2 linked regions of the Cricetulus griseus genome follow. Each later gene encodes a partner of the first gene's protein in a complex. Links are inferred from orthologs where the notes say so. Each region holds a gene or a part of one and is shown on either strand. Other genes may lie near its edges.

Region 1 (3,659 bases):
CCTGTGGTAAGGCGACTATTTTCCGATTTCAGTTGTTCTATTTGGCCTTTACAGTCCTCTAAATGGGCAGACACTTGTTCAAGTTCCTTCAAAACCTAGAAAAGACAGTTTCCTTCCTACAGTTCCTCCTGAGTCAAGAACTCCAGGACTCAGTGCAGTTTTTCTTTATGGACAACAGTGCAAACTTCCAGAACAGCAGTATGCAGAAAATGAAGCTGACCCCCAGGAACAAATAGAGACAAGACAAATTACTAAGGGGAGGTGCTGGGACCAAAGGAAACAACTGAGCTCCTGACATCTTACAGCCAAGCAAAGTGAAAGCAGGCCTAAGTAGTGCCCCCCCCTCCAAGTTACCTGCTTCTTTTCCTTGATTGCAGCATCACGTTCCTGAAGGGCCTGCCGGCTCTTGGTTGTGAGTTTCTCTGTGAGTTCTCGAGACCGACTCAGCAAAGCTGCCCATGTTCCACACTACCAAAGTAATTGGATCAGTAGAGCACACTCAAGGATGGGAAACTGCCTCTAAGGGAGTGGCTGTGATGGCCCCAAATACTCACATCCTGTTGGATTGATGTCCAGTCCTGCTGCAAAGCAGAAGTCAGACTCAATGTCTGCTGAGCCAGCTCCTCTTGCTCTGTGTGAAGCCCTATCTGGAACAGAAGGATTAATGGAGGCATCTTGTCAGTGTCATGAGCTCCCAAAACAAAAAATGCCCTTAAATTACCAGTTGAGTTGGGAGTGGTGTTGCACACCTCTAATCAATCCCAGCACTCAGGAATCAGAGATAGGCAGACCTCTGTGAGTTCAATGCGAGCCTGGTCTACATAGCAATTTCTCAACTATATAGTAAGAGACTGTCTCAAAAAAAAGGAAATGACAGCTGGGTGGTTGTGGCTCATGCCCCTAATCCCAGCACTCCAGGAGGCAAAAGCAGGTTAGCCTGGTCTACAGAGCTAGTTCCAGGACAGCCAGGGCTACACAGAGAAACCCTGTCTCAAAAAAAATAGATAGATAGATAGATAGATAGATAGATAGATAGATAGATAGATATAGATGGATAGACAAGTCAAACAGACAAAAAGGAGATGACATTACCAGTTGGGTCTGGGCTTCCTGTAGAAGGCCTCTGAACTCTTGCATAGATGTAAAATCCTGTTCCAGTTGGCTGATGCGCTGGCTAGCATGTGCACGGAAAGCCTCCAGTACTGCCTCTGCCTGTTTAGGGAAAATGTTGCAAGGACTTGGTGTGTAACAAGAAAACAGCACAGAAGACCATAACTATAAAGTCCCCAGTAGCTCTTAATTCTGTCTCTTCTGTCTCAAGTCATTCCTACAGAACCTTGGAGTCCTTCCGCATCCAGAAGTTGCCAGCCACCTTACCGCATCTTTGCCGTGAAGGGCCATCTCCTCTCTGTGCTTTGCCTCCTCCCTTTCTGTTCTGAGGCTCTGGAGCTTTGCCCTCAGTTTCTTCAGTACATGAGAACAGGAGGAAACCAGGGTTTCTGCACGCCGAGACTACAAAAGAAGAACGAGATGCTATGTTTTGTGCCTTGTTCTTAGCTTATGGTCACCTACACGATGCTTACCTCCTGACTCACTGTCATTCTGTCTTCATTCATGTGTGTCAGGGACAGGTGAAGCAAAGATATCAGTTCTCTAGAGACTAACATCCATGATTGCTGTAGAAGAAAAGATAGCAAGGTTAGATCAAAGATAGTCATTAAGTAAGATGAAGAGACATTGCAGGGAAAAAGCTACTGATCCCCCAGTTCCAAGTTCTTAATAATGAGACATTCTTGACAGAGGTTTGAGATCTTCCCTTCACTGCCACAGCTATGGCTCACCATCTACTAACTACCCAGGATCCTCCATCTTTTAACTTCACAAGGGCCCCCAGTGGTATAAACTCAACCAACACTTACCATGACACTCCTGGCTTGCAGCAGAGCCTGTCTAATCTCTTTGCTGTCCTGAAGATGTTTAGGTGTCTTAGTGACCTAGCCAAAGAAATAATTGCTCTTTTTAGCTGGATAACATACACCAGCAGCCTCTAATCTCCATCCTGCCAGTGACTTTCATATGAGATGGAAAAATTAGGCTCACAATCAGATGAAGCCAAGAGAGAAAGAAAAACCTAGGGGGAGCTGGCGATAATGTTAATTGTGCTTGCTTTCCAAACATAAGGGCCTGAGCTTGACTACTCTTGTAAAAAGTCCATGTAAAAAGCTGGGAGTGGGGCTAGAGAGATGGCTCAGTGGTTGAGAGCTGCTCTTGATGCTGTTATAGAAGACACAGGTCCAGTCCCTAGGACTTGGCTTGGTACCAAGCACTGAAACCAAGTGGCTCACAACTGCCTGTGTCTCCAGATCCAGATGACCAGATGCTTGATTCTGACCTCTGCAGACACATGTAGACATATGGTGTACTGTACACATACTCAAGCACACACACATACACATAAATGATAAATAAATCTTTCTTTTTAAAGCAGGATGCAAGCCGAGTGGTGGTGGCACACACCTTTAATCCCAGAGCTTGGGAAGCAGAGGCAGATGGATCTCTGAAGGTTTGAGGCCAGTCTGATCTACAAAGCAAGTTCCAGGACAGCCAGGACTGTTACACACAGAAACTCTTTGGTTGGCAAGGGATGCAATGGTGTGCCTTTAATCTCAGTGATGGAAACTGGTAGATCTCTGAAAGCTCAAGAGGCAGTGGGTCTAGCCTATATGACAAAGTTCCAGACCAATGTGAAAACTGGAATATCTTAAAGAAAAATATGAAAGATGCCTGAGGACTGACACCATAAATACTGTGACCTCCACACATACAGTGCATGCATACACACACACACATGTGAATTTGAGGCCAGCCTAGTCTACAGAGTGAGTGCCAGGACAGACAGGGATACATAGAGAAGAAACCCTGTCTCAAAAAACAAACAAACGCCCCCCAAAAAGCCATAATAAAACCAGGGTATATTAGCTAAAATATAAAATAAGGCAGGAGTCAGAAAGACGGTTCGGCAGCTAAGAAAGCAGGAGTTCAGTTTCTAACATGCCCTTGGAGGCTTACAACCATCCATGATTACAGCCATCCATGATTCCAGGTCCAGGGCATCTGGCCCCCTCTTCTGGCCCCCATGGGCACCAGATGCACATGTGGTACATATACATACATGCAAGCAAAACATACACACAAAATAAAGATTTTTTTCTTTAAAAATTGTGGCTAGGAGGCTGGAGAGATGGCTCACAGGTTAAGAGCACTGACTGCTCTTCCAGAGGTCCTGAGTTCAATTCCCAGCAACCACATGGTGGCCCACAACCATCTGTAATGAGATCTGGTGCCCTCTTCTGACATGCAGACATACATGGAAGCAGAATGTGTATGCATAAAAAAAAAAAAAAAAAAAAAAAAAAAAAAAAAAGTTGTGGCTCAAAGCCAGGCAGTGGTGGTGCACACCATTAATCCCAGCACTAGGGAGGCAGAGGCAGGTACAGAGTGAGTTCCAGGACAGCTAAAAATACACAGAGAAACCCTGTCTTGAAAAGCAAAATAAAACAAAATTGTGGCTAGAGAAATGGCTCAGCAGTTACAAGTACTGGCTGCTCTTCTAAAGGACCCAAGTTTGGTTTCTAGCACCCACATTACAACTCATAACT
Region 2 (4,202 bases), on another chromosome or scaffold:
TTCCTATCTGGTATTCCTGTTCATCTCCCTACCTGGCCAGGCTGGGTAACCCATCCGCCCCCACCATACATGTCATTTAGCATACATGTTATATTAGTATTTACACATCACAGCACCTGTCATGCCCCACCCCCAAGCTTTTCTATTTCTTTCCAGCTCAGGGTTTCCTAGAATATATTAACTTCACATTGTTCACTGTAAAATGGCTATACTAATTAAATAATTAAGTTGAAGAAATGAGGTATAAAGTGCTGGATCATATTGCAGGGTACTTTGTATTTAATAAAAATTTTATTCAAATAACTTGCTGCACAATAATTTGGAGTAAATATATAATTTCTAAGGTTGACACATTTTGGTTTATAGGTACAATTTACAGGGCACCAGATCTCTAGTTTCAATATTCATAATGCTATGCAAATATTAAATGGGATCTTTGGAGGTATCTTTTAGAAAAGTTATTTTGTGTCATTATCTTGTCTTATCTCAAATAGTATTAAGTTAAATACAATTATATATCTAGCCCATGTAAGAGAGTTCATAGTAAATTGAAAAACAAAACAAAAAAAACAAAAGAAAAAAAACATTTGCCAGGCGGTGGTGGCACACACCTTTAGTCCCAGCACTCGGGAGGCAGAGGCAGGTGAATCTCTGTGAGTTCCAGACCAGCCTGGTCTACAAGAGCTAGTTCCAGGACAGCATCCAAAGCCACAGAGAAACCCTGTCTCGGAAAAAAAATTTTTTTTTTCATTAATTGCAATAAGCTCCAACAATCTCTTTCTGCTGAGCCCTGAGGATTGCACTGTAGGAAAAAGTCAGAATTTAACAACAATCATCTTCTAGAAAGAAGACACTAAGGAGAACTGGATGGCTGATGTAAAGAACACTTGTCAAACTTGTTGATTCAAACCCCTTCCAGAAAGATCTTACTGTTCAGCCCTGGCCTGCAACTCACTATATAGACCAGGTTGGCCTTGAACATGCATTCATATAGGGGCACACCACACCCAGACTCACTCTTCCTTTGTAGGTGCAGACCGCCTAAAAACCTTAAAATGTTGCAGTTCATGTGATCATAAAGCTGGGACAGGTCTTACAAGTGGAGAGATGAAACCTGGGGTTTGTCTAGGAAGACTGGTCACTGCCAACTATCCAGAACACTGTGAGGGACAAGGCTGCAGAGGTCTGCGCATCCTGCCTCCACTCCCTAAGCAGTGCCTCTGCTGACAAGATATTTTGAGGAAAATGGCAAAGAGAACAACCCTTTAATCCTGATAGAAAAGCCTATCTTACCTTAGAGACCCATCCTGCCTGCCACTGCTCTTCAACCAGCTGCATGGAATTTTTGGAAAGCGATGGTAAAGGCTGCTCCAAAATTCCACAAAAGAGCTTCAGGGTGCCAGGGCCATCTTCTGTGCTATAATCTTTACATTAAGCAGCACGACCACTACAGACCCCATCAGATGACTTTCAACCACAAGACAATCAACACCGACCAAGATGGAAACGCAACTACAAATTGTTTTCGGTCACATCTCCCTTCTGTCAAGGTTCTCAGTAATGGGTTCTTCTCTCTCACTCTTTTCAACATATATGTGAGTGACAGGGAGAGCCACTGGGCACCTGCTAATGTGAACAAGGCATCCTGAGGCTTTCTCCCCACTATCCTACTCCTCAAAGGGTTCATTCTTATCTGACAACAAACCCACAGCTGCATGACAACCAACCTTAATTTAGAAATAAAAAGGATAATTGCATAAAAAGTGATTTCTAGGGCTGAAGAGATGGCTCAGCAGTTAAGAGGGAGAACTACTCTTCCAGAGGACTGAAGTTTGATTCCATGACTCACATCAGGTGGCTCACAACTGCCTTTAACTCCAGCTGTAGGGGATCAAGTCCCCTGACCTCCCTAGGGCACCTATATTTATGTGCACAAGCGCCCTGCCCCCCAACTCCCCGTTTAAAAAAGTAATTCTTTCAAACAGAGTTCTAGAGAGGCAGGTGTGGTGGCTTTGAGCCTACAATCTCAGCATGCAGGAGCTGAAGCAGGAAGATTCCGGCAAAATTAATGTTAGGCAGAGCTACATATTGAAAACCTAGTTTAAAAAGAAAAGTCAGGCCAGGCACTTGGGCATGGTGGCACACGCCTTTAATTCCAGCACTCAGGATCTCCGTGAGTTCGAGGCCAGCTGGCCTATAAAGCGAGTTTCCCCACCACCACTATATCACACAAAAAAGCTATTCCTAAACAACAATTTGGGTCTAACTGGAAAACACAGGAGGAGGTGGGGTCAGGGGTAGGAACAGGGACTCGTCCGTCATAAGCATACACAGCCCGGTTTGGGGTGAGGAGCAGGCAGGCGTCAGAGCTAACCGAACGCCGTCCCAACATACACAGATTTCAATCCTCTACTCCTGGTATAGTCCACGGAGCCCCGGCCGGTGGCGGTGTGGACACCCACCTGTGGCCAGGCCGCCGCTCGGCAACGAATGGGGCTGCGTGTCGCACACCGTCTTAGCACTGGCCATCGTAGCCGGGCGGCTTGACTGGGCCCTGGAAGGTGCAAGGTGGATTATTAGCAGCGCCGGGGTAACGCCACGCCAGCCGGCCCGACCGCCCACACGCAGCCCAGCCCCGGGCCCGCAGAGCCGAACCCAAGCTCCAGCTGCTCCCGCCCGCAGTCCTCTTCTTCCCCTTTCAAAAGATGCTCGGCAGCAACCGCCCGGCTCTGGGCAGAGCTTGCCGCCACGCTTTCAAAAGGAAACTTCCGGGAGCTGGGCGGGAGGGGGCGTGGCTCCGAGTCAGTAGGCGGCCCTGTTGTACGGAAGACTTTCTCCTGCTCCACGGCCTCGGAAGCCGCCATGCTGTACGGAAGTTTAGAGCCGCCTGCCCGAACCTGCGGGTCACGGCAGGCCAGGGATGCACTTGGCAGGCTTGAATGGGGCTAGTGAGCCACTGTGTCACATTTCTGGGTGGAGGCAGAAACGTGATCTTTCTTAGCGTCCAAGTCACAATCCTCTTTATTTGTCTTTGATTGTTAAAAAGATCCTACTAGGAGTACATATGACCTGAATAAAAACTACCAGATACCTGGTGTAGTATGGCAGAACCTTCTTGAAGGACACCAGTGGGCTGAAATACCTAACAAACCCGCATCCGGATTTAATTAGAAGTTAAAGTTATTCATACAAAACAAAGCAGAGTTTTCAGTCTTTCGTTAAAAAACACACATTGGAGCAGCAGGTATGCTGGACACTAAGAGGGTGGATGGGTTAGGGGAAGTAAATACCAAAACTGACTTTAGCTCTACCATCTTGGAGTTCACACTCTAGGAAAGACACTAAACACAAAAATTCCAAATACATACTTACCATCCTTGGAAAGCCACAAAATGCTATAAGAGAGAAAAGCCAGGAAGAGTTTTAAATTGAGGAAAACAGTTTAAATTGGGAAGATTGAGGCCCTGGTGGTTCACAACCATAATTCCATCACTCAGGAGGGCTGCCTCTCGGGAACTGCTATGTCTTCGAGGTTAGCCTGGGCTACATGGTGAACTCCAGGCCAGGCAGAGCTACAATAGTCCAGTAAAATCTTGTCTCAATAAATAAGATTTAGGATAGGTGGACTTTTCTGTCCTGCCAGCTGCTCAAGAAATAACCACACAGAGACTTAATATTAATTGTAAATGCTCAGCCATTAGTTTAGGCTTATTTTAAGCTAGCTCTTACAACAAATTAGCCCATTTCTATTAATCTATGTGCTGCCACTAGGCTCAGGTTTTTTGTTTTTGTTTTTGCTTTTTTGTTTTTTTTTGAGACAGGGTTTCTCTGTAGGTTTGGAGAGTGTCCTGGAACTCTCTTTGAAGACCAGGCTGGCCTCGAACTCACAGAGATCCACCTGCATCTGCCTCCCGAGTGCTGGGATTAAAGGTGAGCACCACCACCACTCAGCTGCCCCTAGCTCGGCTTGTTTAACTCACCTGCATATTTCCCATTTCCCATCCTGCTTGCTCTGCATCTCATGGCATCTTTCAAGACTTCACTTTCCTTCCCAGCGTCCTCCTAGTCTGACTTTCTTGCCCAACCTCTTCCTGCTATAAACCAGCCAGCTCTTTATTAGTGAATGAGTGTAATACATATTTATAGTGTGCAAAGACACAGCAATTTTGGTGTATTGATTTGGGAAAGACAAGTTAGTTAAT

The links. Proteins that work in one complex are often made in the same cells at the same time.
Region 2: Spag5 (region 1) and Knstrn share a complex: the UniProt entries of both Homo sapiens proteins name them as parts of the astrin (SPAG5)-kinastrin (SKAP) complex. The link is inferred for Cricetulus griseus from reciprocal best matches to the Homo sapiens genes SPAG5 and KNSTRN.

Annotation. Positions count from the first base shown.
Region 1 is NC_048600.1:91,701,155-91,704,813, reverse strand, and holds part of Spag5 (sperm-associated antigen 5), read right to left. Parts: intron 1,995-3,659; coding exon 1,920-1,994; intron 1,677-1,919; coding exon 1,584-1,676; intron 1,513-1,583; coding exon 1,378-1,512; intron 1,213-1,377; coding exon 1,093-1,212; intron 648-1,092; coding exon 555-647; intron 469-554; coding exon 355-468; intron 96-354; coding exon 2-95; intron 1-1. UniProt on the Homo sapiens protein: Essential component of the mitotic spindle required for normal chromosome segregation and progression into anaphase. Required for chromosome alignment, normal timing of sister chromatid segregation, and maintenance of spindle pole architecture.
Region 2 is NC_048599.1:59,675,683-59,679,884, forward strand, and holds the start of Knstrn (small kinetochore-associated protein), read right to left. Parts: upstream 2,865-4,202; coding exon 2,656-2,864; intron 2,555-2,655; coding exon 2,463-2,554; intron 1-2,462. UniProt on the Homo sapiens protein: Essential component of the mitotic spindle required for faithful chromosome segregation and progression into anaphase.